Nothobranchius furzeri: one gene and its partners. The protein of the gene in region 3 interacts with the protein of the main gene of each other region in a pairwise test. Links are inferred from orthologs where the notes say so. Each region holds a gene or a part of one and is shown on either strand. Other genes may lie near its edges.

Evidence for each region.
Region 1: the proteins of tnika (region 3) and dpysl3 interact in a two-hybrid assay, tested with the Homo sapiens proteins (2 studies listed by BioGRID and IntAct). The link is inferred for Nothobranchius furzeri from reciprocal best matches to the Homo sapiens genes TNIK and DPYSL3.
Region 2: the proteins of tnika (region 3) and golga4 interact in a two-hybrid assay, tested with the Homo sapiens proteins (2 studies listed by BioGRID and IntAct). The link is inferred for Nothobranchius furzeri from reciprocal best matches to the Homo sapiens genes TNIK and GOLGA4.
Region 4: the proteins of tnika (region 3) and clu interact in a two-hybrid assay, tested with the Homo sapiens proteins (2 studies listed by BioGRID and IntAct). The link is inferred for Nothobranchius furzeri from reciprocal best matches to the Homo sapiens genes TNIK and CLU.
Region 5: the proteins of tnika (region 3) and wwc1 interact in a two-hybrid assay, tested with the Homo sapiens proteins (2 studies listed by BioGRID and IntAct). The link is inferred for Nothobranchius furzeri from reciprocal best matches to the Homo sapiens genes TNIK and WWC1.
Region 6: the proteins of tnika (region 3) and connector enhancer of kinase suppressor of ras 2 interact in a two-hybrid assay, tested with the Homo sapiens proteins (2 studies listed by BioGRID and IntAct). The link is inferred for Nothobranchius furzeri from reciprocal best matches to the Homo sapiens genes TNIK and CNKSR2.
Region 7: the proteins of tnika (region 3) and akap9 interact in a two-hybrid assay, tested with the Homo sapiens proteins (2 studies listed by BioGRID and IntAct). The link is inferred for Nothobranchius furzeri from reciprocal best matches to the Homo sapiens genes TNIK and AKAP9.

What each region holds. Positions count from the first base shown.
Region 1 is NC_091750.1:58,232,483-58,235,982, reverse strand, and holds part of dpysl3 (dihydropyrimidinase-related protein 3), read left to right. Parts: intron 1-935; coding exon 936-1,092; intron 1,093-1,595; coding exon 1,596-1,737; intron 1,738-2,567; coding exon 2,568-2,738; intron 2,739-3,500.
Region 2 is NC_091752.1:16,187,216-16,190,715, reverse strand, and holds part of golga4 (golgin subfamily A member 4), read left to right. Parts: intron 1-2,088; coding exon 2,089-2,242; intron 2,243-2,360; coding exon 2,361-2,551; intron 2,552-3,500. UniProt on the Homo sapiens protein: Involved in vesicular trafficking at the Golgi apparatus level. May play a role in delivery of transport vesicles containing GPI-linked proteins from the trans-Golgi network through its interaction with MACF1. Involved in endosome-to-Golgi trafficking.
Region 3 is NC_091758.1:22,641,741-22,645,806, forward strand, and holds the start of tnika (TRAF2 and NCK interacting kinase a), read left to right. Parts: upstream 1-1,266; 5' UTR 1,267-1,466; coding exon 1,467-1,526; intron 1,527-4,066. UniProt on the Homo sapiens protein: Serine/threonine kinase that acts as an essential activator of the Wnt signaling pathway. Recruited to promoters of Wnt target genes and required to activate their expression. May act by phosphorylating TCF4/TCF7L2.
Region 4 is NC_091742.1:12,226,408-12,230,425, reverse strand, and holds the start of clu (clusterin), read left to right. Parts: upstream 1-1,218; 5' UTR 1,219-1,365; intron 1,366-4,018.
Region 5 is NC_091750.1:71,325,306-71,328,805, forward strand, and holds part of wwc1 (protein KIBRA), read left to right. Parts: intron 1-987; coding exon 988-1,058; intron 1,059-1,743; coding exon 1,744-1,989; intron 1,990-3,027; coding exon 3,028-3,117; intron 3,118-3,500. UniProt on the Homo sapiens protein: Regulator of the Hippo signaling pathway, also known as the Salvador-Warts-Hippo (SWH) pathway.
Region 6 is NC_091750.1:48,216,412-48,220,445, reverse strand, and holds the start of connector enhancer of kinase suppressor of ras 2, read left to right. Parts: upstream 1-1,234; 5' UTR 1,235-1,737; coding exon 1,738-1,801; intron 1,802-4,034.
Region 7 is NC_091759.1:4,646,294-4,650,261, reverse strand, and holds the start of akap9 (A-kinase anchor protein 9), read left to right. Parts: upstream 1-1,168; 5' UTR 1,169-1,334; coding exon 1,335-1,382; intron 1,383-3,968. UniProt on the Homo sapiens protein: Scaffolding protein that assembles several protein kinases and phosphatases on the centrosome and Golgi apparatus. Required to maintain the integrity of the Golgi apparatus. Required for microtubule nucleation at the cis-side of the Golgi apparatus.

The DNA of each region.
Region 1 (3,500 bases), on a different chromosome or scaffold from region 3:
ATGCTGGTAACAAGCCTTACAGATTTATTCTCAGGTGGAGCATCAAAGCGTCTGCTTTAAATGTCACGTCTGATACTTAAAACGTTATTGTTATTGTTTTTGAATGCTTTGTAATTCCGACTAGACATGGAGACAGAGGTGAAAGAGAAAGGAAAAGACAAATGGTGGTGTGGTGGGGGGTTCCACAAAAATAAACAATAATGAACAAGAGTCTGCTTCTAGACCTGCAGAAAAAGAAGAGCAGAAAAGAAATGGGACACACAACAATACATCAGGAGCAAACTATCACTGCGTCAACGTGATGATGAAATATAAAATCAACATTGTTTAACTGAACAATCACACGATAATAAATCACAGTGCATTTAGTGGCAACGACAGCCTTGAGACAAGTGTTGAACGTGCCCAAGCCCATACTTTTGAGAGCACCACGTGAGCACCTGTGTGTGTACACGCGCTTGTTTATGTAAGGTTTCTCTATAGGAGCGTTCAATAGAGAGTGTGAGGGACCACAGATCTGCCCCCAAAGATGCGTAGGAGACGGGGGGAGCTCCAAGTCCCAGAGATCCAGGCACTGCCCCAGAACACAGGAACCCCAAGGGGACTGCAACCAGAAAGGCCCCCCGCATGGGAGGGACTCAATGTCTCCTCTACTGCGTCCATTATGATGACCTACACTTCTGTAAATTATGTGTTGATGTCATTTCGCAATGTTTACACAGCCAATAGCTGATTTCTTAAAGAGGATTTGGCAACACAGTAGTGCAGGGTAATTCAAAAATGGTTTATTAATAATGTTGGTGCATTTGCATATCATTATGTTTATAAAATTAATTTGTTAAATTTTTGAGTTAGGTCTCAGCCCTCTGGAAAAAAGGTCATTCTGCACATCTGGAGTTTTAAACATTATATTTATTGTTTTTCTTCTTTCTCAGGAAATGTGGTGTTTGGGGAGCCCATTGCAGCCAGCCTGGGGACTGACGGGACACATTACTGGAGCAAGAACTGGGCCAAAGCAGCTTATTTTGTTACATCACCTCCTCTTAGTCCCGACCCCACCACTCCGGACTATCTCAACACACTGCTGGCAAGGTGAACACCACAGCAACTCCCTCCGGTTTGGGAGGTTTACTGTGCATGGTTTAAGTGTGCAGTTTGAAAAGGTTGCATAAGAACAAGCAAGGAGAGAATAGTTTCTGAGGTCAGCATTGCTAGAAGCAGGCTATTTAGTAATAAAGTCCATGCTGCATGAGAAACTGAGCTCTTTGGATTGAATTTTTTGTAATAAATGCTAAATTATTGCATAATTGCTGGCTAGTGCAAATTATCTTTTACTTTAATTAAAATTCCATCTTTCTGCTTAAAACAAAAGTAAAATTAGCATGTTTAAGTTTATAACTAATGGGTTTTGTTTTGTAAAAGATGAGTACCATATGGAAGCAGGAAGCATCATTAGTAGAGAACACTTTGGCACGCTGCTTCCTTATTCTGCCAAAGTAAATAAACAGATTTTTGTGTGTTTGCAAAGCTCGACTCGAGTAAACAGATTTTGTTGTGCTGGTTTAATTCCATCGTCATGTGTCCTCTCCTCCTAGTGGAGACCTGAGTGTAACTGGCAGCGCTCATTGCACCTTCAGCGTGGCTCAGAAGGCCATCGGAAAGGACGACTTCACTCAGATCCCAGAGGGTGTCAATGGAGTGGAGGAAAGGATGTCGCTCATCTGGGATAAAGCTGTGGTGAGCACCAGTTGAGCTTTTTACTTTGTGTGAGGGAAGATCAAAAGCAGACACAATAGCTTTTGTTCTCTTTGACTGTTTTTTCTCTCCTCAAACTCTACATCTGGACTGTTTGTTCTGTCATTTTCATTGACTATCAAATCTCTCTTGAGTGGTTTTCATTAATAAAAAGAAAAAAATATATACATTATTCTCTTTTTACTCTTTAACTCAACTTCCTTTTTTTCACCATTTAAAATTTCCCTATAGCATCTATTTTTTTTCTATTCTTTATGCAGCATTAAACCAATGATTTTTCTTTCATTTTGATGTCGTCTGTGCATCAGTATCTGGCTAAATTTCAGCCTCTCTGGAATTCAGTGCTGGCTTTAAAATGTGAGTAGACGTTTCCTGAGAACAGCTGCTTAGGATCCAAGTTCTAAAGTTGGACTGGCGGCTGCGGGTGTGGGTTTTTATAGCCACTTTCACGCGGCTAAATGTGACTTTTAAACTAAATGGACCTAATAGAAGACATCTCCCAAAAATAATCAAATACTCAAGGAACGTTTTGCTGATTAAATCAAATTTTAGGTCTCTGTCTTTGGATTAGGGAAACTTGCAAGAGAATAATTTTTTTCTTTTAAGAAAAATGTGTTTACTGATTTAAATTTAAACATTTTTATGGGTTTATTCAGGTCTTGTTTCTAGCTGTACTCCCACATACACGTGTGTCTTGACAATGCTTGCCCATAGAACCCCTAAGATATACATAAAATTGTATTTTTAACAATATCATGGTTCTGTGTAACAGATCTGGTTCTTTACGTATTTTGTATGACTTCTCCTTTTAGACCACGGGTAAAATGGATGAGAACATGTTTGTAGCTGTCACCAGCACTAACGCTGCTAAGATCCTGAACCTGTACCCTCGGAAGGGTCGGATTGCTGTGGGCTCTGATGCCGACTTGGTCATCTGGGACACAGACGCTGTTCGCACCATCACTGCCAAGACACACCAGTCGGTACGTATTTCACGTCTTGATTAAACGATCAGTATGTCTTCCTGAGCAGGGGAGGTTCTAGACTAAAACTGGGGGGGGGGGGGGGGCGGGCTCTGTTAGAGGCGCATTTGTAAGACGACTCTAAAAACATTGCTATCAAGTATTTCAATTGCAATATAATAATAAAGATAAAACAACAAGAATGACACAGAATCTTTATTGTAGATACAACAGCTTTTCATTTCATTTAAAAATATAACTATTTAGAAAAATAATGCATTATCAGAGTTATTTATCTCAATGACAACATGAAAATATTCTATACTTAATAATTCCAAGGCTCTGCTCTCAGCATGGGGGCGGCGGCGGGGTGTCCAAGTTTGTTTTCAGGGCTGCACTGGCCTTTTTTCCCCTGAATTTTATTCCAGTACTTTTCATTTCTTTGCACCTCTTATTGGAATGAACTTTTAAATTTAAACTATTGATAATAACTGAGAATCAACTGTAACAAGTGGTGACAAAACATTATCAAGCAATGAGGATGTAATAAAATATTGACACACAGAAATATTGCTATATTTCATGTTGTGATACTGAGTTGATGTTAAAAAGAATGTATCAATTAGGGATGTCCCGTTCCGATATCGATATCAGGATTAATTTGATATCGGCCCAAAAACACTATCGGATTATATCGGACTGCATCTAAATTGTCGGATATAATGAGTCCGCTCCGCTTTAAATTTCATTCCAGCAGTTCTATCCAGCAGCACCCAGATCCAG
Region 2 (3,500 bases), on a different chromosome or scaffold from region 3:
ACAATCTATCAGCTGACACCTTTGCCTCATTCTTCACTGACAAAGTGGCAGCTATAAGCAAACAGTTTACTCAACTGGCCACTCCTGAACATTCGCTACCACAAACTCCTTCTAGCCCAACCATCTCAAGCCCTACTGCTTCATTTTCCTCTTTTTCCCCTCTCACTGAGAACTGTGTGTCCAAGCTTCTCACGTGCAGCCGCCCTACTACATGCCCACTGGACCCCATTCCGACTAAGCGGGTCCAAGCTATTGCTCCTACAGTAGCCGCAGCAGTCACACGTGATCAACGCTTCACTGACATCCGGTACATTTGCCACCTCTCTCATTCAGGTTAAACCGCTGCTAAAAAAACATCTCTTCCTCCAAATCATGTGGAGAACTACCGACCTATCTCTCTCCTCCCTTTTCTGTCCAAAATCATTGAAAGGGTGGCTTTCAAGCAGATCACAGAATACCTCTCACAAAACTGTCTGCTTGACCCTTACCAATCTGGGTTCAAAAAGGGCCACTCCACTGAAACTGCTCTGTTAGCAGTGACGGATTCCTTAAAAGAAGCTAGAGCGACTGTCAAATCCTGAGTGCTTATCCTGCTCGACTTATCGGCTGCATTTGACACTGTTAACCATGGCTTCCTTTTGTCCACACTCTCTAGCATGGGCATCACAGAGAAAGCACATGCCTGGTTTGAATCGTACCTCACAGGATGATCATTCAGTGTATCTTGGCTTGGACAATCCTCTACCGTGCACCATCTTGCCACAGGAGTCCCCAGGGCTCTGTACTAGGACCTTTTCTCTTTACCATATACACCACCTAATTGGGTGAGATCATTCGATCACATAGCTTCTCCTGCCACTGCTATGCCGATAACACCCAGCTCTATCTGTCATTTCCACCGGACGACCACGCTGTCTCTGCATGAATATCAAACTCTGACATATCAAAATGGATGAAATCCCACCATCTCCAACTCAACCTCTCTAAAACTGAACTACTTGTCATCCCAGCAAAACCATCCATACAGCACAATATCTCAATCCAGAATGACTTCCTATCTCTGGCTCCTTCAAAGGCAGTTCGAAATCTGGGTGTTGAGATTGATGAACACCTGACCTTTAAAGATCATGTTGCCTCTGTTGCTCGTTCATGCCGCTTTGCACTGTATTACATACGAAAGATCAGACCATACCTAACACAACATGCCACCCAGCTCCTGGTGCAATCTACTGTCATCTCCCGCCTCGATTACTGCAATGCCCTTCTAACTGGTCTTCCAGCCTGTACTGTGAGACCTCTTCAAATGGTCCAGAATGCAGCAGCGCGTCTGGTCTTCAATCAGCTAAAAAGAGCACACGTCACCCCTCTGTTCATTGAGCTCCACTGGCTACCGCTAGCAGCACACATCAAATTCAAATTGCTAACACTAGCATACAAAGTCTGAGATGGTACGGCTTCCATCTACCTGAATCCTCTTGCAAAGGCTTACGTCTCGGCCCGGCCGCTCCGGTCATCACAGGATCGTTGGCTAGCAGTGGCTACACCACGCTCAGGACAATCCAGACTCTTCTCATGCATCGTTCCACAAATGTGGAATGACCTACCAAGCACTACCAGAACAGGGTCTTCCTTTTCGATTTTCAAGAAACTCCTGAAGACCCTGCTCTTCAGAGAGCATCTTCTAAACTAGCACCCTCCCTGCACCTGTCCCCCCCTCTCTACTGTCCACTCCTTGTTCCCTCCTCTCCATGATTCATCATGCTGCCTCACTGCCACCTACGACTGACTGGAAATTGTTTGTTGTTGTTGTTGTTGTTATTGTTGTTAGCCTCAAGGGCAACATGCCGATTATCACTTGTACGTCGCTTTGGACAAAAGCGTCTGCTAAATACATAAACATAACATTTAAAACGAAATTTAAAAATGTCTGTTTCATTTATTTATTATTTGAGTCATCAGAACTCCAACTTGGTGTCTTTAACTGTATAATGTTGAAAAACACTTCACTCACCCACTTAAAGGTGTGGAACACTGGAAGCCCATTTTGTCATAAAGCAGTTTTAATTTCTTTGTTTTTCTTTTTTTAAGGTTGCTTTGTTAAAGAAGCGAGTTAAGGGGGTTTCTACAGATGGGTCGCTCCCTGCTGAAGGTGACGTTCTCCAGTCTGGGGAAGCTCAAGGTTCTACATCTGTAATGCAGAGTCCGTCGAAAGAGGAAGGACTGGAGCCAGAGAGCACCGAGGGCAAGAAATGTTTTTATCTGCTCATATGTGAATCAACTTAAAAGTGAAAGTGTGTCTTTTTGTTCTACGGAGCTAAAGATTTTATTTTACAACAATTGCATTTTAATTTTCTGAACAGGAGAGGGCAACAGTGATCCAACCAAACTCATGGAGGCTCTACAGAAGAGGGTGAAGAGGCAAGAGAACCTGCTGCAGAAGTGCAAAGAAGTGATGCGTACGCACAAGGAGCGGAGCACACAGCTGAGCAGTGAGAACGAAACTCTGCAGGAGCAGTTGCAGGAGCGCCTGCAGGAGCTGGAGAAGATGAAGGTTCACACTCTTTATTTTAACTACAATAACACAGAATCAGTGCCGAGTTCTTTAGTGAGATAAACAAATCTATAAATTTTGGGGCTCGTAGGCATCATTTCTTCATCAGTATTTTAAAAAGAATAGCCCAAATATTTCAAATTCTTCTCTTCGGGCTGGACGTACGGAGGAATTTAATGATGCAGTAAACTAGTTATGAAGAGGTTTGATTAAACGGAGGCAGGGCTGAGATGCTGCTAATGACTGAGCAGTGTTTGGGCTAATTAATGTGCTGAAGAGTATCTGCCAGAGTCTTTATGGTCCACTGATGATGTGAGTCCATTATCTGTGTGACAGAAGATTGCTATGTGGTTCTCCGTCTCCAGATATCCACATTCCTTGGCCCGGCTCCACAGTGAGGGGTTCATGTCATGTCGGCTTGACATAACTGAACCATTGCTGTCATTGAATTCAAAACATTTAGCTTCAGTGGTATGTTTGGCTTGTGTAGCATGTCTGTAGCTGTTCTGATGGTTTGCAGCATTTGATGGCAGCTGCTTACAGCTGGGAGGAGACCGTAATAATAGATTTAAAGTCTGGGATTGATGTCGTTTTGCTGTAATTTAGTTCCGTTTGTTTTTTTTTTGTTTAAAGTGTTTTGGAGGAATAAATCCTCTCGCAGTTCTGAGCATCTTCATCTTGAGTTAAAAACTCCTCATGAATGAAGCTTTAATACCTTGAATCACCGTGACAACCAAAAGAAGAAAAAGGTATGGTAAAGATAAGAGCTGCAATTGCACAGAAGGCTGCAGTAGGGCGGGTACTAAAACTTGGTACCGCTTTAGTATTGGTACCAAAAATAATGAACTTTTTCAGTGCTTTCCCTGAAAAATGACCCTGTTCATGAGCTGCACAGCTCCGTTCCTCCTGCTGCTTTCTGTCACATGACTTTGGGTTGCCTCTCTCTCTC
Region 3 (4,066 bases):
TAGTGAGATTTCCTCCAAGGAGGTGTCATTGAAGGAGGTGTCATCGTCTGTCGTTGTCTTATCTGAATGCTACAAGCCTTTGAGCACTTGACACCAGTCTAATATTAATGCATCACATGCTTTTTTGCTGCAGTTTATAAAATTTGTAGCTAACCAGAGTTTAACCCTAACCCACCTACTTATCAGTGCACTGAGTTCAGTTCATTTTTCAAACTGGTTAAACGTTGTCCTATGGGAGGAAATCCAGCAGATTGTGGCAAACATGCAGCAACAGTGGAGAGGAAAACTCCCCTTTAACAGGAAGAAACCTCCAGCAGAACTACAACTGACTAGGGATTTGACAAGGGTTAGGGTTAGAGCAGAAACACGAAAAATAAATGGTCGAACAAGTAGCACCTAATCAACTAGAATGTCACATGCCTATTGAAAGTTGACTTCACCTGAAGCAGTATGTGCTTTCATCAAGTGTATGTTGCAACATTCATGTCAAGCTTGGTTTGCAACAATTACACATGTTCCATACAAACATTAAAGGAGCAATATGTAAGAACTCTGCCTGGAAATAATTTTCTAGGGGTTGCCATGGCCACCCCTTGGGGGCACCCCCTGACTTCATCTTACTTTGTTTCTTCTTTACATTTCAACAAGAAAGCTTCTTATTAAATGTAGATGTTTTAATGAGAAAGTGTCTTGATGATCCTTATTTTTTCCCCTCACTGATGGTGATACGCTTTAATTTCTTTTATTTAAAAATCTAGATGTTTAGTGTGACACAATTGCCAACTTTTGAAACGCTTCATTAAATGAAAAGTTTTTTTTAATTAATACACTAATTCTCCTCACCAGTAGGGGTTCTTAAAATGTCATTTTTGTTCTTCTTTTGTCCTTTTTTTATTAAATAAAAAACAGATCATTTGGAAAACTTCATTTATATTTGACAAAAACAGCTTTGGGCTATTTCATAAACTCATAACGTTAAACTGAAAAAAAGAAACAAGATGAGGCGCTTTTTATTAATAAAGAGCAAAGGTTGACCTGGCAGAGAGAGGAAAGTTACTTTATTGAAAGGGGTTACCGTTTCAGACAAACCCCGCCTTTTTACCGGGCGGGGTTTATGTGAGGAGCCAGTGCGCTTCTCTCCCTTTCCGTATTTACCGGCTTGCAGTCACAGCAGAAAACAGGCAATCCATCCGCCGCAGCGCTTCACCTTCCACATCCCCGCACACATGGAAGTATTGATGCGCTCCATCCTCCGAGCGTGTGCGCTGTAGCTGCGCGCACCCGATCCCCGAGCGCGTCCGGGACTATAGAGAAAAAAACCGAACGTGCTTTTTGTTATTTTCTGTCCACTTGGGATCACTCTAGCAAGAAGAAGAGGGATCCGTGGAGCATCAGAGACCGCACAAATCGGCGGTGGCAGCCGAGTCCGGATAACTGACAGCTCAAGGAGAATTTTTGTGTTCACCATGTACATGCCGAGTGACTCTCCAAGGCGGAAAGTCGACATCGACCTAAATGAATTACAGGTGAGATTTATTTCATTGAAAAAAAAATAGGAACAGAGGTGCCTTATTATTTTCTTGCACCAGAAGATTAGATTAGCCTCTAAATGATAAATAGAATGTCCCAAATTAGGAGGAAAGCTTCTACAGAGGCCAATTTGTTAGGGTCAGAAATGAAATGCAGCTGGTGATGCTGAGTTGATGTCTCCTGCTGATTTTTGCTGACATGGATAGTCAGCGCTTAGGTTGTCTGTTTCTTCTCTAAAGCCGTTTGGAAACTAAAACTACTTTTCTTCTGTCCTATTCAACCTGTGGGCACTGCCTGCTGTCTGCCTGTGCACTCAGAATATCACTTCACTGTGCCAAGATTACAGTGGCATTAAAGATGCCACACATGAGAACCACAATCTTGCCCTCAGTCGTTTATGGTGCATTTGCAAGGCATCACATTTGCTCGGTTGTCCATTTTTATGTTCTTAAAGCCATCATGTCTGCATGAGCTTAGCTGCAGCCTGCATCTCTGTTTTCCATCAGTTTATCGCCTGTTGCCCTTTTCTGCCAGCTTGCAGTGGGGGGTGGTTTAAGTGTCAGGTGAAGAAAAAAAATGTTATTTAACTTAACATGAAAATAGTTTGCAGCTTAAAGGAGCACATACGTGACGAAGCAGTGGAGGAATGAGGAAGAACAAGGAAATGGGGGGAAGTGGCCAGGCACTGGGAGTCAAGGCGTGATGCTATAGGTGTCTCTGAGATTAACAAGAACAAAAAAACAATGCTCGCTTTTCATTTTACAAGCTGAATCTGTTTTGAAAGTTCATCAGTAGAAAATGAGCAGTTACCAGAATATATGAAAAAAACTTGTGTTGGTGCTTTTTGCAGCACATTTCTCCACAATAAATACCAGCAAGGTCCTGAGTGACAAATCCAATTATTCATCCTAAGTAAAAAATAAAAATAAAAAATTCAGTATTAGCCTACAACTTGTAATAAAGTGTTTTACACACAGTCTTATTAGGAACAACGGTTGGCAAAATAATTTGAAGGCATCTAAAAGGTCTCTCCAACATGTTTTTACGAGCCCTGTCATCCAGGATCTGTTCACAAACATAGATGCAGACAATGAGTTCAAGATGAGTGTAGTGTCAACCACTGAGCTGGCTAGACAGGAAGTAGGTCAGCTGTCTCTGACGCATGGAGAGGGGGTGCAGTGACTGGAGGGGGGGAGTTCTGTGTTTACAATACTGATCTTGATGATGGAGCACTGTATGTGTTTTTCAGTCTAAGTGTACATATTTCATAGAGGTGAAGGGGGATAATTTTCTTTTGGGACACATTTAAAGACTTAAAAAGGTAGACAGAGCTAAACAGGAAGTAGAGTGAAGAGGGAAGTGTTTTGTTGTGCTTGCACCTCTGTGCGATATTCTCTATGCTGTCCCCTGTGGCTACGTGCTCCTTGTCAGCTCTCTTTCTTGTCTGCAACATTCACTGCACAGAAAACCCCAGCAGCACCTGTTACAGACGCAGAGTGTTTCGCTTGAGCGAGAAAGTCAATGCTTGTGGTCCAGCGCCACTGTTGTGACTCACAATGACAGCCAAGGTCGAAATGCTGTGATTAAAAAAAAACACGGATATTGTGTTATTTCTGGATGGGGTGAGAGCACGCTGAGGTCAGAGGCATCAGGAGCACTGGCTCATCCAGTCAGCTGATGAGAGCAACAGATGGTAAACCAGCAGGAAGTTCACAACACTGCACACATTGGTGGTGGAGTAATCTGTGCAGGGACTCAGGTGTGAGATCGGATCTGAAAGAGAGGGCAGGTGAAGCTACTGTTGCAGAGAGAGTGATGGGTGCAGAGGGAGAAAAGGATGCAGCTTAGAGAGAGTTGAAAGGTGGAGATGTGACCAGTGACTAAAGTAGAGAAAAGCTGAAACGTCTTCTCCCTCTCTTTCATTGGAAGGCCGCATTCCTCATCCGCTCACCACGAACGTCATAGTAACGGGGCCACAGCAGTGCCCAAGGCTTACACAGAGAGTATTCATGAATAGTCCATATATACTGTATGGCAGTTTGTCACTGAGAAACGGCCCCTCTTCCTCACATCCTCCCTTCCAACGCTGCCAGCATACTTCAAGTTGACCTATTTTCCCCTGTCCAAGACTATGATGGAGCTGCTTAAAGTCTAAATCTATTTAAACGTACAAATGTGTTGGGATTTTTCTAATGGGAAATTTTCATTTCCAAATTTAAATCTATTACCAGCAAGTGCACAGGGACCAGCATGGAAACAAATAACAGTTATAAATTAGAGGCTTTTAATTAACATTCCTTCTATAGTTCAGGGGACACATAGAGAAAACACACGGGCCAAAATACCATAGCACACCTTTTGGCTTTAGATGATAAAAGACATTCTTTGAATCCCTGCAGATCAAAAAGCTAAGAAAGATGGATGGAAATGACCGATGGAGAGTGACGGTTGAAAATTGAGAAAGAAAGAAATGAAGGATGAGTGGAACAGATGGATGGGCTGAAGGGATGACAGGAAGAAATGTGAGATGACAAGG
Region 4 (4,018 bases), on a different chromosome or scaffold from region 3:
TCAATAAAGTGGCCAGTGAGTTTTTGTTCATGTTTGCTTTCAGATTAGTTTGAAAGAAATTTTAATGTAATTAATATGAATTATTGTTTAGTTCACCAACTAAAAAACAACACTTTAGGTATAAATTTAGTTTTTTATGCAGAATTCATTCAAGGTAGTTTCAGAAATATTTAGCTTGGATAAATACAACTAGGCAACACTGTGGTGTGTTGGGTTGAACTGCATTTTTCATGTTTTCCTGCAACTTCCTGCCAAAAACTATGTAGGTCGTGTTAATTGGGGATTTTGAACTAATGAGTCTGCAGGATTGTTTACCTTTTTTGCTTCTTTGTGTTTGTCTGGTGACCTGCAAGTTATAGTTTCTGCTCTGAGCAGAGTTGAGCAATGGAGGAAAATGTTATTTTCACGAAAGCATCTTACCAAATATTAAACAATCATTTAATGTGTCATCAGTGTAAAGAATGCTGCTTGTTGTTGCATTACAAAGCTCCATGTTGCTCATCCTGGTTTCAAAGTGGTGGTTGTGTTGTGGTTGGAAACATCAGACATTTTAGATGAGTCACAGTCTGTGAATCAGATGTTTGTCTCCCTGCTCAGCAGCGTTCAGCTCTGCCGATAAATCTGAAAACTTCTGGAAAGGTCGTCATGCGTCACGGCCATCAAGTCACCGGAAATAAACGCTGCAGTCACCGAAAACATGGTTGCATTTCAAAATAAATGTTTGTTTTTTTACTCCACATTTGTGTAAAAGAAGGTAAATTTGAACAAGTAACATAATCTCACTGGAGCTTAAACCTTGTTCTGTTTGAAGTCCGCTCTTATTCAGTGACACAAATGTGAAAATTATGGAAGAAATAAAAGATTTAACAGTAATGTGAGATTAAAAAGTAACCTAGTAGCATAGCTTATTTTAGCAAAAAAGATGTATTGTAGACAAAATGATCTGTTATCGCTTCCATTTTTCTAAATATAATAAAATCAAACAATACATTAAATCTCACTGAGACAAATACATATTTTTGTGTATCTCATTAAAACATTTTAGGAGCAGTGTGCTTATCAGCTAACAACCAGCTATCTGTAGCATTACCTTTAAATGTCATTCTATTTCAATAAATCCTCGTGTTATATGTTTGCCATGAATTTCAAACACTAAATATGTCTTTCGTTTTGTTTGTGTTCAACTCGACTAAACGTTCCTGTTAGTTTTATTCTGAAGGGTCAGGCAGGAAGTTGGTGTGTTGTTACGTCGCTGGGACGCCGTTGATGCTGCAGCCTCCCTGCACCGTTCCCGTTAGCCTCCTGCTGAACATAAATACCGGCAGCAGCGGCACTGGTGTGGCTTCAGATCCAGGAAATTCAGAGGTGAGTCTCAGGAACTTTCTTTCTTTTTTAATCTTTTGCACCAAAGGGATGCGCATTAAGATAAATGATGCTTTTTCGAGTTCAAACCGCTTCAGATACTGTTTTATTGTCAAATGATAATTGTAATAAGAATAACATTTTGTAAGTAGAATCTTTAAAAATCTATTATTTAGGTCTCTGCTGTTGATTTATGGTGCAAACATGCATGACTGGTGTTTGTTTTGCTTACCCACGGGTGTGACCTGATTAAAAGCAACTGGATTAGTTTAGATGACGTCACTCTTTGGTTGGTTTACCTTACAGACATCAGCATAAACACTGCAAAATAAGAAAAGAAAATTCAACCAAAACAATAAATTTGTCAGTTTTTTTTTATTATCTAACAGACATTGTAAACAGCATCAATGTATGCTGTTAATTTATGATCCCGCTGACAGAACTTAAAGTTTTTATACATGATTTATTTGTGTTCATTTAAAGATGACCTTGATTTTCTGCATGGCTGTTTAAAAAAAGTTCCTTCTGGGTGCACAAATCCCCAAACACTTAAAATAAGGTGGAAATGGGGCCACACGTGTAAGCGTCCCATTTGCAGAAAAGATTAGTCGTTCTCACCTTACATGAACCTTAATTATAACCTTATATCTCCGTAGGATGAAGGTGTTTTGATTTTAAATGCAAACATCAAAAACATTCATCCTAAATATTAAAATACAGCAAAAACAATATATTATGTTTAATTGCTTCATGCAGGATGTGAAAACATTAAAATAGGCTTAGGAGTCTCTTAAATTCCAAAGGAGATGTTCTGCAGGCTTAAATTTTCTTTAGGATGAAAGTTTATTATTAATAATAGTAGTAGTAGTAGTAATAATAATAATAATAACGATAACTGGTTATTATGGAAAAGAAAAACAATCTTTGCAATCTTGTCTTTTTACAAACTATTAAGAAGTCCATCTGTAGTGCAGTGGGTGGAGGGTGCTGCAACATCTGGAGGAGTGTTGGTATTTCAGTTGTGTAACCAGAATCCCTGCAGCTGTGGCTCTGCAAACAACGCCGTCCGACTCCTACCTTGTCTGACTTTCTCTGCTGTTTTCTCTCCTCTGACGCACGTTTTGTTCTTTCCACCCACTACAGTTTGCCATATTTTCACATTGCTGTTTCCACAACTGATATTTAAAATCTAAATGTTTAGGACAAAATGAAAAATGCTTTACCAGAGATTTATCATCAAATAAATCATGAGCTCTTTGTGTTTTATGATGTCTGTTCTTCCGCAGTGGGTTTTAAGCCTGCAGTTAAATTGAATAACCTTAAAAATGAAAGTTGTTCAAACAAAATATTAACTCAACTTGACCTGAAAATCATTAAACATTGATCTGGTGATTACATAAATGTGGTGGTTTGGAATGAAGAAGCTGCTGCTTCTGTGTTTTTCTTGTTACCATCGAAACAGGTGGTGATGGTGGGCGTGAAGGTGACGGTGGACAATAATAAACCATAAAATGTGATTAAAAGATGAAAAAATAAAGTCGTTTACATCTAAACCAGCTTTGTTTGTTTTGATTCGGCCCAGACTAAACAATAAAAGAACCTTGAGATAATAATCGTGAGAAACTTCAGCAGACTAAATCACTGAAGGCCAATAAATCCAGACCTAAAACTGTTAGTTTTTATTAACGTAGAGCAAAACCATCAGATCTGTTGGATTCTTCAGTTTCACAAAATATCCATGGTTTGGATGTTTATATTTTCTAGAAGTTTCATATATCAAAATTTCTGTCAGCTGCATAGTTTGGTGCTTGGTTGATGTGTTAATTCCACACGAGAAGAGTATATTCTACTACCAAAGAAAATGGAAGTACATATTTTTATTGTGAAGACGAGTTGTCGTGGTGATTTATTAGTTAGGAGTTGAGTGTTTTTTTGGTAACGAATCCTCTGATCCTTCATCCATCTGCCAACTCCTGCAATAGTTTGGTTACCTGTAAGGCGCCGTGCACAAATTCAAATGTCACCATTTTGCAACAGCAGAGACCTTTCCAAGGAATAAACCAAATCCCTGCAGATTTAGGATTGAATGTTTGTCTTATTCTTTTACTGTAATTTGTATTAGACATTATAATTTAGTGAGCCGCTTTGAATGGCAGAAGCCTACTAATCACCTGCTGATTGAAAACAGGTGTGTTGAAGCAGGGTTAAAACCAAAACGTGCTGGATACCGGCCCCCTAGGACCAGGATTGGGCACCCCCTGCTGTAAAGCGTCATTTTAGCACAAATGATCTAAACATTCAATAACTATTTTCTCCTAAAAAATCTGCACCAACTCTTCTTCTGCAAAACAATGACATCATCAGCAAAAGCAAACAGTTTTCTTTAAGGAGATGTTTCTATTTTGTAACTTTCAGCAGCAAATTTCAATGTGTTGCCATGGAGACGGGAGTTTTAGTTTTATTCTGTTTATTTAAACCATGACTCATTCATTTAGTCTTCGTTATTTAACATGAAATCTTCTGTTTCCAGCATGAGATGCAAATCCTAAATGTTTCCTGTGCTTATAGACAAAAAATGATTGTGTGAAGTGTTAGAGAACATTAATTACACCGCCCAGATAAATCAGCACACAGATGAGAGTTCGTCTTTCTGGTA
Region 5 (3,500 bases), on a different chromosome or scaffold from region 3:
TTCATGTTCTACCGAGGCGTGCGTTCTCTGTTAGCCGTTTAACTAGCTGAGCAAGGATATACGGGAGGTGTCTTGTAGCCTAGCCTTGGTCAACAATTCCCCAGAATACACCACGATAATTTCAAAAGGATGGATCAGAAGCTGGCAGCTACTTCGGGGACAATTTTCAAGTTTAAAAGCAAGTCAGCTAATTTAAAATGTTTTTTTCAGATCCAAAGAAGTTATCTATGGTTGGTTAGTTGCTTAGTAGTTGCAGCTTCGGTGGCTAGCGGGTAGTAACTCACTTATATTTTTAATTTAATTAACATGTACACAATTTAAAAAGTAAAAGGCTCGTTATATATTTATATTGAAACTAATACAGTGATCCCTCGCTACTTCGCGGTTCGTTTATCGTGGATTCACGACTTCGCGGATTTTTTCTTTGGAGCCTTATTCAAGGGAAATTCGCCGATTCGCGGTGTTTTTCTATGCGAAATATCAAGAAATTCCTGTTTTTTTTTTTCATCAATTTCATCATAAAATGCACTTTTTGTAATAAAACTATAAAAAAACAAGTAAAAATACAGTACTATGTAAAGGGAGGGTTTCAAAAGTCTGAATACTGAATACGTACCTGTTAAATAAATACTGTAAATATGGTGTCCCTACTTCGCGGATTTTCACCTATTGCGGCCAGGTCTGGAACGCATCTACCGCCATACACGAGGGATCACTGTACATATAAAATATAACATTATCTCCCGTGTCACGTGATGTTACGTCACCGCCGTGGAAGCCGCGGTCACTTGATGCAAGTCTGTTCCATTTTACCGTTTTCTTTGACCTAGGAAGGACAGTGTCCTCGTACGCAAAGCGCCTGGCCTCGCGAGGCCAGGCGTCTTGACATTGAGAAACACCCAGCGATGAGAAGGTCCTCCTCAGTATGATTCATCTGTTGGCTGATTAGTTTAAACATTCATTAGGATGCTTTGGTTTTCTCACCAGTTTTCGACCAGCACCAACAAACTGGCTGAGAAGGTTCGCCTGAGTCTGAAGTACGAGGAGGCCAAGAGGAGGTAACAACACTTTAACTCAGTCAGGAGATCCTGATTTAGCTGGGACGTCGTTGGTTTGTTTAGATAAACGTGTGTGTACCAGTAGAACTGCTTCAGATGTTCTGAAAGCCTCAGCTTCCTGTCTGTAAGTGGGAAGTCTGGACCGTGATCCAGCTGCTGCCAGAGCAGCTGTGGCTACGCTGTAGCTCATCATCACCAGCGTGTGGATGTGTTGCAAAGCACCTTGGGGGGTTGTAGAACCCTAGAAGGCGCTACGTGAATACAAGCCATGTATCATTTATAGTGAGCGGGAAGTCCTAAGTGGGGAAGTCTATGAAGCACAAGATGGATCTGAAACCGGCAACGAGTCCCGCAGATATCGGGCAGTTCCTCGGATACTGGACCGTGGAAAGTTCGTCCAAGAATCTGCTTGGAGAATGGAGCTAAAGTGACCCGGGTCCATCCAGAACCCTGATGTTTCAGACTCAATAGTTTGATCCCATGCTGGACTGGTGGAAGATGTGAGGCTGGAATATTTAGATCCTCTGGAACTTTCACATAAAATAATCTTTTCTGCCTTCACAGGACCCGTTTTCTTAAATGTTTGATCTGAAGTTGATCCGTTTGGTCTTCCCTTCTGCTGTGGAGCCAGCTATAAACCAGGGTGCTCAGCTTTAACCATAGCGTCCTCACCTTCTCCTTCCAGGATCGCCAACATTGAAGTTCAGATCGCCAGACTGGACAGCGAGGCGTGGCCGGGGCTGCTGGACCCGGAGCGGGACCGACTCATCCTCATCAACGAGAAGGAGGAGCTGCTGAAGGAGCTGCAGTACGTCAGCCCCCGGAAGCGCCTGGAGCCCAACGACGCCGAGAAGCTGGAGACGGAGAAGAAACGTCTGGAGAGAGACCTGCAGGCGGCCAGAGACAACCAGAGCAAAGCTCTGACCGAGAGGTGCTTCAGATCGGAGCTTTTGTCTACAGAAAGGTTTTTATGGGTTTAGCTGCAGGGGGATCAGAGAGCTGTGAGATGAATAACTCGGATCAGATCAGCTGGTGAGACCTCTGACCCTTGGATACTCCTGTCTCGTTTTCCTCCATCAGGTCTCCCTGTCCACACACACACACACACACACTCACACACACCCCTCTAACAGGACCGTTGTTGTTCGAGCTCCAGGTCAGACTTTACCTGAGCCCCGTCTCTCTTTGTGTCTCGTCTCCTGTTCCTGAAACCCGAGATGCCGCTAAGCCTCGACACAAGGACCTCTTGTAGCGCACACACACACACACACACACACACACACACACACACACACACACACACACACACACACACACACACACACACACACACACACACACACACACTGAGTCTGCAGCTCTGGAAATGCAACATTCTTTTCTTTTACCGAGTTTCAGAGAAGACGAGAAACCAGACGCAGTTAGCCCCCCCCCCCCCACACACACACACACACAACAGAAACTAACAGTTCGTCTTTGATAATTTCGCACCGTCCAGGTTTGTTCTGCTGCTTTTAGAAAACATTGAAGCTAATTATTCATGTCGGGTTGATAAACGATGGATTCTTCCTTGTTTTGGGTCAAATCTCTAAACCAGCTGGCCGTTTTCTTCCGTCCCTTTGAGTTTCTTTGTTATGTTGTTTTGTTTTTGTGTTCTTAATAATTCACAGACTAGCAAACTTTGTAGTTTTACTTTTTACTGACAGTTTCGGCTCTCACTGGCGCCTTCCTCGGAGTGGTGGTGATGTCACTTCCTTGCTGTTTCATCAATGGGCAGTCGCCCTCTACTTTCCACTTCCTGTTTGTCGATGACCATGTCCCATATGTGATCCACTCTCCTCCATCTCTGTCCACGTCTCCTTTAATCCGTCGTTGCTGACTTTGGCCAATATAGAAAAACTTGTATATATCGGTCTGCCTCTAGTTTTCTGGTTATTTTATTAAACTCCGCTCCCTTCTGTGATTTCAGGCTGCGGCTTCACTGTAAGAGGAACAAGCTGGTGAGAGAGCTGGAGGAGACGGTCCGCCTGGCCACGACGCTGCATACGCAGCTCAAGAGGTCCGTACTCGTCTCCACCAGGAAAGATGGAGTCAAACAACAGCAGCTTCTAAAGCGTAGTGCAGGAAGTTGGACTTTTAGCAGCACGAGCATCAGTCAGTCGGAAAGATTGGGTTGTGTTTGTGAGGAGGTTCTGACGCCTGCTGCTGCTCTGGGTTCGTTCGGCTCAGACGTTTTCTGAGGAAGTAAAAAGCCTGGATTGCTCGTGGGATTTGTGACGTACTGATGTGGTTCTGAGACTGTAGTTTCTTGACTAGTTCCATAAATGAAATGGATGAAAAAATAAACACAAGTAGATAAAAAGCATCATTTACTGGATGCTTGCTCAGATAAAGCTTTAACTGTTAAACCACCGCTTTTATCTTTAGTATCTGAATAACGGA
Region 6 (4,034 bases), on a different chromosome or scaffold from region 3:
TTTACTAATGTAAAAAAAATGCTATATATCAAATATTTATCATTTCTATGGATTTAATAACTGAACACTTTCAGAAATCTCCACTTTCCGACTGCTGGCGCTCATTTTCTCACCGTCTTCGTCGCACTCTCCTCTCTCTCTCTCTCGCCTTTTTCCTCCTCCTCATTCCCTCTCGTCTCCCTCCGCCCGCATGTGCTCTGCTGTGTGTCTGAGTCTGATCCTCCCTCTTCCTCGCCCCTACTGCTCTGTGTGTGGACAGTCTGGACACGCAGTTACACATGCTGACCAATCAATCGCCTGTGGCTTTCACCAAAGCAAAAGGGGAGGGGGGAGGGGACGGCTCCCAATGACGAGCCGGCTCCCGTCGTTCACTTCAAAGAGCCGGCTCTTAGAGCTGGTTCGTTCGCGACCGACACATCACTACAACCTATATTTCCTTTCTTCATCATTTAACTAATTCTTTACATTTATCACTCCACCTCCTATGTTTTTTAATTTCTCCCTGAGTTGTCCTCTACTTTCCTCATATTTTATGCAGTTACATAAAACATGCTCCACCGTTTCCCCCCCCCCCCCACCCCACATCCACACAAACCTGTGGGATGTTTCCCTTTCAGATGCATTGTATTATATATATATATATATAATATAGCTATCATCTCCACTGTGTACACAGATAAATGATCTGGAGTTCTTTCTCTAACTACTACTTTTATATGTGGTATTACAAATGCAAAACCGGTTTCTGGCAGGGAGTTGGTGCCATGGCTTGGGTATATAGAGCAGGTGAAACAGGTGAGTAGCATGAGCTTGATTACTGGGAGCAGGTGTGACAGATGAGTCTAAGGAGAGCAGGCTGTGGTTGTCATGGAGATGAGGGCGGGCAGAGCTGGATCATGACAGATATTTATTTTTAAACATTGTGAAATATGAAGACATATAAATGTTAATTCATTATGAGGTTTTCTGCGTGCAGTGGTCAAACTTTAACGTCTAAATGTCTCCTGCGCCATTCGACTTTAAAACTGCATCAAATTCAATATTATAATTATTTTTGTGCTAGTACATTACATTTTAATTGAAACACTGAGTGTTCTTTTTAAGATGCAGCTCATACCAATTTATTTTAAATAATTCCCCCGAAGAAAATTAATTATAAGGAACCTGAACCTCTTTATACATCAAAATGAAAACAAATCACAAGCCTGTGGCATTAACCACCAGTCATACAGGAGCGCTTTCTGGTGATGGCTGAGGCGGTGGTGGTGGGTGGGGGTGCTGTGCTGTGACTCCATGTCGTCTGGGGGAGAGGAGGGGAGAAAGGGAGGGTGGGAGGATACTCAGAGCAAATGCTACCTCTTCAGACAGCAGGATGAAGTGAACAGTCTGCGCGTTGTTCGCCGCTCTGGACGCGATTGGTATGTTCTGGGAGCGGGTTCGGGCAGCAGGGACCCCGCAGCATCATCGCCCGTGAGCCTGACATGAATGATAAGTTAAAAAAACAGCTTCTTCAGGACCGAGCTGCGTCGGAATTCACTGGGCTTTACTCAACGACATCTTGGACATTTCATCTGGTTTTGTTTTGTTTTATTTTATTCTGCCCCAGTTTGTTTGTAAACGGGCGCATCTGCAGTAGGGAGTGATTAGGAGCGTTTTCGGATTATTTAGACTGATAATCCCAGTTTGAGTGCAGGAGTTGGTCTTTTTTCCCTTCTTTTGTGGGGACAAACTTCTACCATGGCACTGGTTATGGAGCCTGTGAGCAAGTGGAGCCCCAGCCAGGTGGTGGACTGGATGAAAGGTGGGTTTCGGTGCCAACGGACGCAGATTTGAGCAAAAATTGAATTGTGTTGCGGTGATGCACGCCAACACAAAAAGAATCGATATGCCAAAAAGAAAACAAAACACCTGCTGAGCCTTGGATTATCGACTCAGCCCCCCAATATGGGTCAGAACATAATTAATCTAAATTTACCCCCAAAAATAACACCACATGAAAGCGGTTCGCCCCTTTTAGACGATCTACTGAGGGTTTAAACGCCTTTGTGTGCTGTGGTGGTCGGGGGAGGCTGAGAGGAGCGAAGATCCAGTAATTACACGCAAATGATTTCACCTCTGACTGGTTCTGGGATCAGAACCAGCGTTGAGAGGAAGGCAGGCTTTTATGAGTGTTGAGACTGCAGGACCAACCATACAGCGGTATCAGGGTTTTTTCACCATCTGTACTAAATGTTCAGCCTCAGATGTTTGAAAGTCTCTATGAAGTCACAGCTGATTTAGAAAGACTGGTGTCATGCATTTGTGAGTCCTGTTGGAAAAGTTGTCTCTGAATAAGAAATGTTTGATTCAGACTGTTCAAGGGCCTTCGATGGAAGAGTGATGCTTTAACTAACCTGAGCTGTCGTCACTCACAAAGTGGAAACGAGTAAGTTGTTGTGATTCATTTGTCATTCACCAGCTCTGGTAGCAGTGTCAGATTACCGCTTCCTTTGATCCGAGGATCTGTAAATGCCCCAAACAGCTGTGAGAGGGATTTACATCCTCAGCCCACTCGTTGCAGATTCCTCATCAGCGATGCTTATTTTGGTCTGTTTGCAAGCAAAAGTGATGGAGATGCATGCAGGGAATGTAAATCTCAGACTGATTTATCTTTCTGTTGCTTGCTGTTTTGCACAGAGTTGTTCCAGCAGTGTGTGTTAGAGCGGACATGCACATAGTTGCACGTAAATATATCATCATCACTTGCAGCCTGTTGGAATGGGCTGGGTCTGACATTTCATGAGGAAGCACCAAAGCTCATCAGCTGTAGCTGATGCCACCTTCTGTGCAGACTCATTATGGAACCAATTTATAATGACTTTTAAAGAAAGAAAAAACAAAACAATTTAAAGGACATCTTGGATGCTTTGTTAGTGAGCTGTACTGAAGTGGAGTTTGGATATGAGAGTGGACTAGAGTGTCCCACATCTGACAAGTGGAGCCCAGGGCTTAGCAATAGTGATTTAAAGCGAGGGACAAAAGTGGCACTGAGAGATGCAGAGGAAATGGTGGAGGAAGGTGGGGGTTGTTGGGAATTCACTCCTCTGTCAAATCCACCCCAAAGCCTCAAGGACTGGCAAACTTTTGACTTTATTGCTGGTTCTATTATCACTGCCCCACAGTGTCAGCGGAGGGCAAATGGGGGAGTCCCGTGACCTTCTCACAGTCCCAGTCCCATGTCCCTGGGATTCTTTGTTCCCAGCTGGAACAAAGCTGTTTGAACGGGAGTCCTATCCCCAAAGAGAAAAGAATTCCTGCTCCCAATGGGAATTTGTTCTTGACATACCAAGAGAACAGAAGCTGAGCAAACACTTGTTTTTGTTTCTCTTTTTCGTTTTAAAGAAACAACTGAATGTCTGGAGCTGCAAATCAGAAAAAAGAAAAAACAGCAAATGATGAATAGTAATGTTTTTTTCTTAAATCACACACACACACACACACACACACACATTCACACGCACACGCACACATATCACAGAGCGAGATCAGTGACAGCTCAGATTATCACACAACTTTCAATTCTAACAGCGTTGACTCTCTCTCCATCAGAGATGGATTATCTATAATGGAGATCAGAACATGCCAACGTTGTGCTCATAATTTCTCTTCTGTGAGCTTGATAGTCTGAGTTGAACATGACAGGAACAGGAAAATTCATGTAGCAGAAATCGCTCAGAGCTATCGGTGAATGAAGGCATCAGAAATGTCAGTCCTAGAGAGAAGAACGCCTCACTTAAAGGGAAATTTCCGAGATTTTGTTGTTAGTTTCTGCATAAATGACAATAGACCAAAGGAGATTGTTGTTATCTTGTAATTCCTGCAAGAATACAGAATCCATCCATCCATTAATTTTCTTCCGCTTATCCAGAGTTGGGTCGCGGGGCAGCAGCCTAAGTCAAGAGGCCCAGACTTTCCTCTCCCCACTTGGGCCAGCTCTTCCGGGGGAATCCCAAGACATTCCCTGGCCAGGTGGGAGACATAGTCCCTCCAACGTG
Region 7 (3,968 bases), on a different chromosome or scaffold from region 3:
TTCCACAGGACTGGAACCTTCTCCTGGGCCAGGCTGAGGTTGAAGAGGTTCTGCAGAATCCCACAGAGCTGCTCTGCACAGGCCTTCGGGTCTTTGTTGGCCTATGGCAGGTCTTTATGAGCAGGAAACATCTTTAAAATGAAAAAGCTTAGAATTGCAATGAAAACTCAACTGGGACAGCTCTGGCAACCTCTCTTCCCATTACCATAGAAACTGGGCAGATTAAAAATCATTCAGACTTCAGATATTACAGGAAAATGTATTAAATTAGCTTTCAAATCTGTTTATGATATTGTTACCAAACTGCCTGTATGTCGATGCCTTGAGTGATTTTTCCATGCACAGTTATATATTTGTTTCCCAGTCTTAAGTCTGAGGAAAGGGTATTTCCACAACTGCAACGCAAAGCGAGCTGGAAAGCCTCGAGAGGGTGGCCAAGTTATCGTCTTAATCAGCGAACAGTGATGCTGGTTGCAGTGAAGATGAAAGGAACCAAGATGATAAATGGGTAGAAAAAGATGTGGAAATTGTGATTGCAGAGATGATGACAGAAAGAACAAATGTTTTCAGAAAGAACAAACATTTACAGAGCTGAGGATGTACCATTTGATGTTAATAGAGTAGAATAGAATAGAATAGAATAGATTAGAATAACCACTTTATTGTTCCTTAGTGGAAAATGTTGGTATCACTGCAGCAATTACATTTACAAAAAGGAGAGTAAAAAATAGAGTAAGTAAGATTAAAGAGCAAACAAAACAAACAAAAAAAAAACATTTGCAGAAATGCTTAAAATATTTAAAATATTGAATATATACACACTTTAAGAAATTAAATAAAAAAATATCTGATAGACATTCTCCTTTTTAAAATAGATTAATTTAAACATTAGATAAAACAATAAAAAAAGTTAATAGCTCAAATTTGTTATAAAAATATTTTTTTGTAGAATCTAAACTAGGTGGGTTCAAAGGTCTAAAATAATGTGGCCATTGTTGTTGTTATTATTATTATTATTTTGATCTTTTTATTTTTATAAACGTAACTCACAGGTTTGTGCTATGGAAGTGGAAAAAGGTGACATTTCCGGCAGCAAGTGAAGCCGACACCAATGAAATGCCAGGTGGGCGCGGCTTCGTGTGCACATACACTACGTCATCACAGTTGGGTCTCATGTTTACGTGGAAAACATGGCGGCGGACTACAATCAAGATAGGCAGTGATTTCGAGCCAAGCCGAACGAGACACGCTTCAGTCTTCAGCTCTGAGACTTTTGTCGCAGACGTTTCGTATGACGTTCTGTCCCCCTTGTTTCTGCCACAGAGACAGCGGAAATGGAAGACGAGGAGAGGCAAAAGAAGCTCGAGGCCGGCAAAGCTAAGGTATGATTTTAAACATTACCACTTCTGCTCTAAACTTGTAACAGTTAGCTGTCGAGAGCTTGTTTCCTGCGTTTATTATGTCTGTCAGCTGTTTTTAACCCCCCTCCCCTTCATTCACCCCTCTCAGCTGTCATGCGCCCTGCTTTGACAGCTGAGGAGGGGGGCTAGCAATGCTACTGCTAACCATGGTTTCTTTGTCATGCTGCATTATAAACATTTCTCATATGTGCTTTCCTCTGCCTGGCGTGTAGGCAGGCGATGCTAGGTTAAACAGCCACAGCTCGAGCCGTCGCATCGTTATTTAGGGCTTATAAGCGCCGCCTAAAGCGACTCTGACAGGCTGGTGTAACTGGATTTACAGGGCATATCCTCACTAGCAGGAAAAGAGGCACCGCATCACATTCTTGACGTTACCTTGACCTTAACAGCAAGGATTACGGACAAACATGTCAGAGTAACGCACATTTTCTTAAGGGACTGCAACTCGTTTATACAAAAAGAATGAACTGTTTAACATCTTATGTCGGTGACTAAATCTGGAGTTCCTCAGGTCAATAGGACAGATACATTTCATGTCAGCTGTATAATTTGATGCATCTTTATTACACAAATAAATAAAATGTGGTTTTCAAGATGTGGCTGAGTCAAAAAGTGTGTCACAGCCTTGTGATCACAGCTTGCATAGCATATCTCAACCTATAAGATTACAAAATTGTTGCTCTTGTATTTTGAGAATTTAGATGTTGAATTATCTGTTAGATGCCCCTACGATCCTACTGAGGAATGACTATTTCAGATAATGATTGAATGATCTACTATTATACTATAGACTTACGCGTCTTTGGGTGTCTAGAAAAGCGATATATAAGTTCAAATAAATGCATTATTATTATTATTATTATTTTAGACGGGAAAAAAACAAGGGTTTCCATTCTGATGCTGCAGGGAATGCTCTTCAGAGGTTTTCTTAGCCCAGTTTCAGATCATATAAAAGACCATCTCCTCAGCTGTTATTTTTGGAAGTATAAAGGCTCCTCATTGCTTCAGGCTGGTATGGCTGCTGCTTTTCTGGCACCGTGTTATGCCACCATGTCCTCACATGCAGCAAAATAAATAAATAAATAAATCCAGGGCAATATTACTTTGATAATAGTTTATAATAATTATGAGGCCTTGAAGGTTTAGCTTGAATGAAAGAAGAATATGATGAGGGCGGTCTTTTTTTAAACTAATCAAAATGATGTTGCAACACTTGATTTGAGTGATACTTAGTGGGTACAAAATGACATTTTCAGTGCAACGTTTGTGCCTTTCTCTTACAATCAGTAGCAAAGACGATGGGAGGATTGCTTTGAGTGAAATGAATGATGAAGAGTGAGCTGTCAGTCATCTGTTGTTCAGCACCAGGCAAGAGCATTCTGAATCTCACCAGACAAAAGCAAAGTAAAATCTGTGCGCAGGCATTGCTAGACTATTGTTTCCAGTTACGCATTTGTCTTGTAGTCTTTTATGTTTTCTTTGAAAGCTACAGAAATATTGACAAGTGTGCCACTATCGGATAAGTTATTTAATTCATTCAATAACAATTAATTCTTCAATTATACATGAATTAAATTGCAATTTCAAATGGTTTGTTAAACTGTCCATCACACTGGTATGTTTAGCAGCTAATAATCCTTCCAACTAGAGCTGGGCGATGAATCAAAAATGTATCGTTGTCTGTAGGGCTGGGACGACAATCAGTAAATCAATTGATCGTACGATCGATGAAAATGAACTCAATAATTTTCCAGCCTAAATATATCGAGGTTAAGAAATGTTCAACTCTATTATTATTATTATTATTTATCATATTGTTGAAGTGCAGTTTTGGTTGTTGACACTGGATATAGGTCACTGAGTGATGCATCTTTGTGTAGGTTGGCGACATTCATGTTCCTGTAAGAAGCAGTACAACCTCGAGTCATGTGATAACATTCCATTCCATTTTATTTATAAAGCACATTTTCACATGGCCGAGGCCAACCAAAGTGCTGTACAGTAAAAGCATAAAATCAACCCACGGGAAGAAGTAATAAAAAGTAGTACAGTAACTACTATAAAAACAATAAAAATAAAAAAACATCGTAAAATGGCAACTAGGCTGAAGTAGAAGCTAAGGAATAAAAATGAGCCTTCAGACGTGATTTAAAATCAGAGGGGGGGGGGGGGGGGGCATTCTCACTGCTAGGGGGAGTTGGTTCCAGAGACGAGGCGCACAGATTGAGAACGCTCGCTCTCCTCACATCCTCACCCGAACACTTGGGACCTGTAACAGGCGGTGGTCTGCTGATTGAAGAATTCGACCAGGTACGTAAGGCTGAACCAGCTGAGTCAAGTAGAGAGGCGCATAAAGATAGAGTGACTTAAAACCGAGAAGTAAAATTTTAAACTAAATGCGGTAGCGCACCGGAAGCCAGTGCAGCTGGGTCAGAACAGGAGTAATTCCAGCCTGGCACCGTGGGTTTGATTCCAGCTCCTGCCAGGGGTATTCTGCTGTTGTGTCCTTGGGCAAGACACTTCACCCAACTTGCCTGTGTTGGTGGT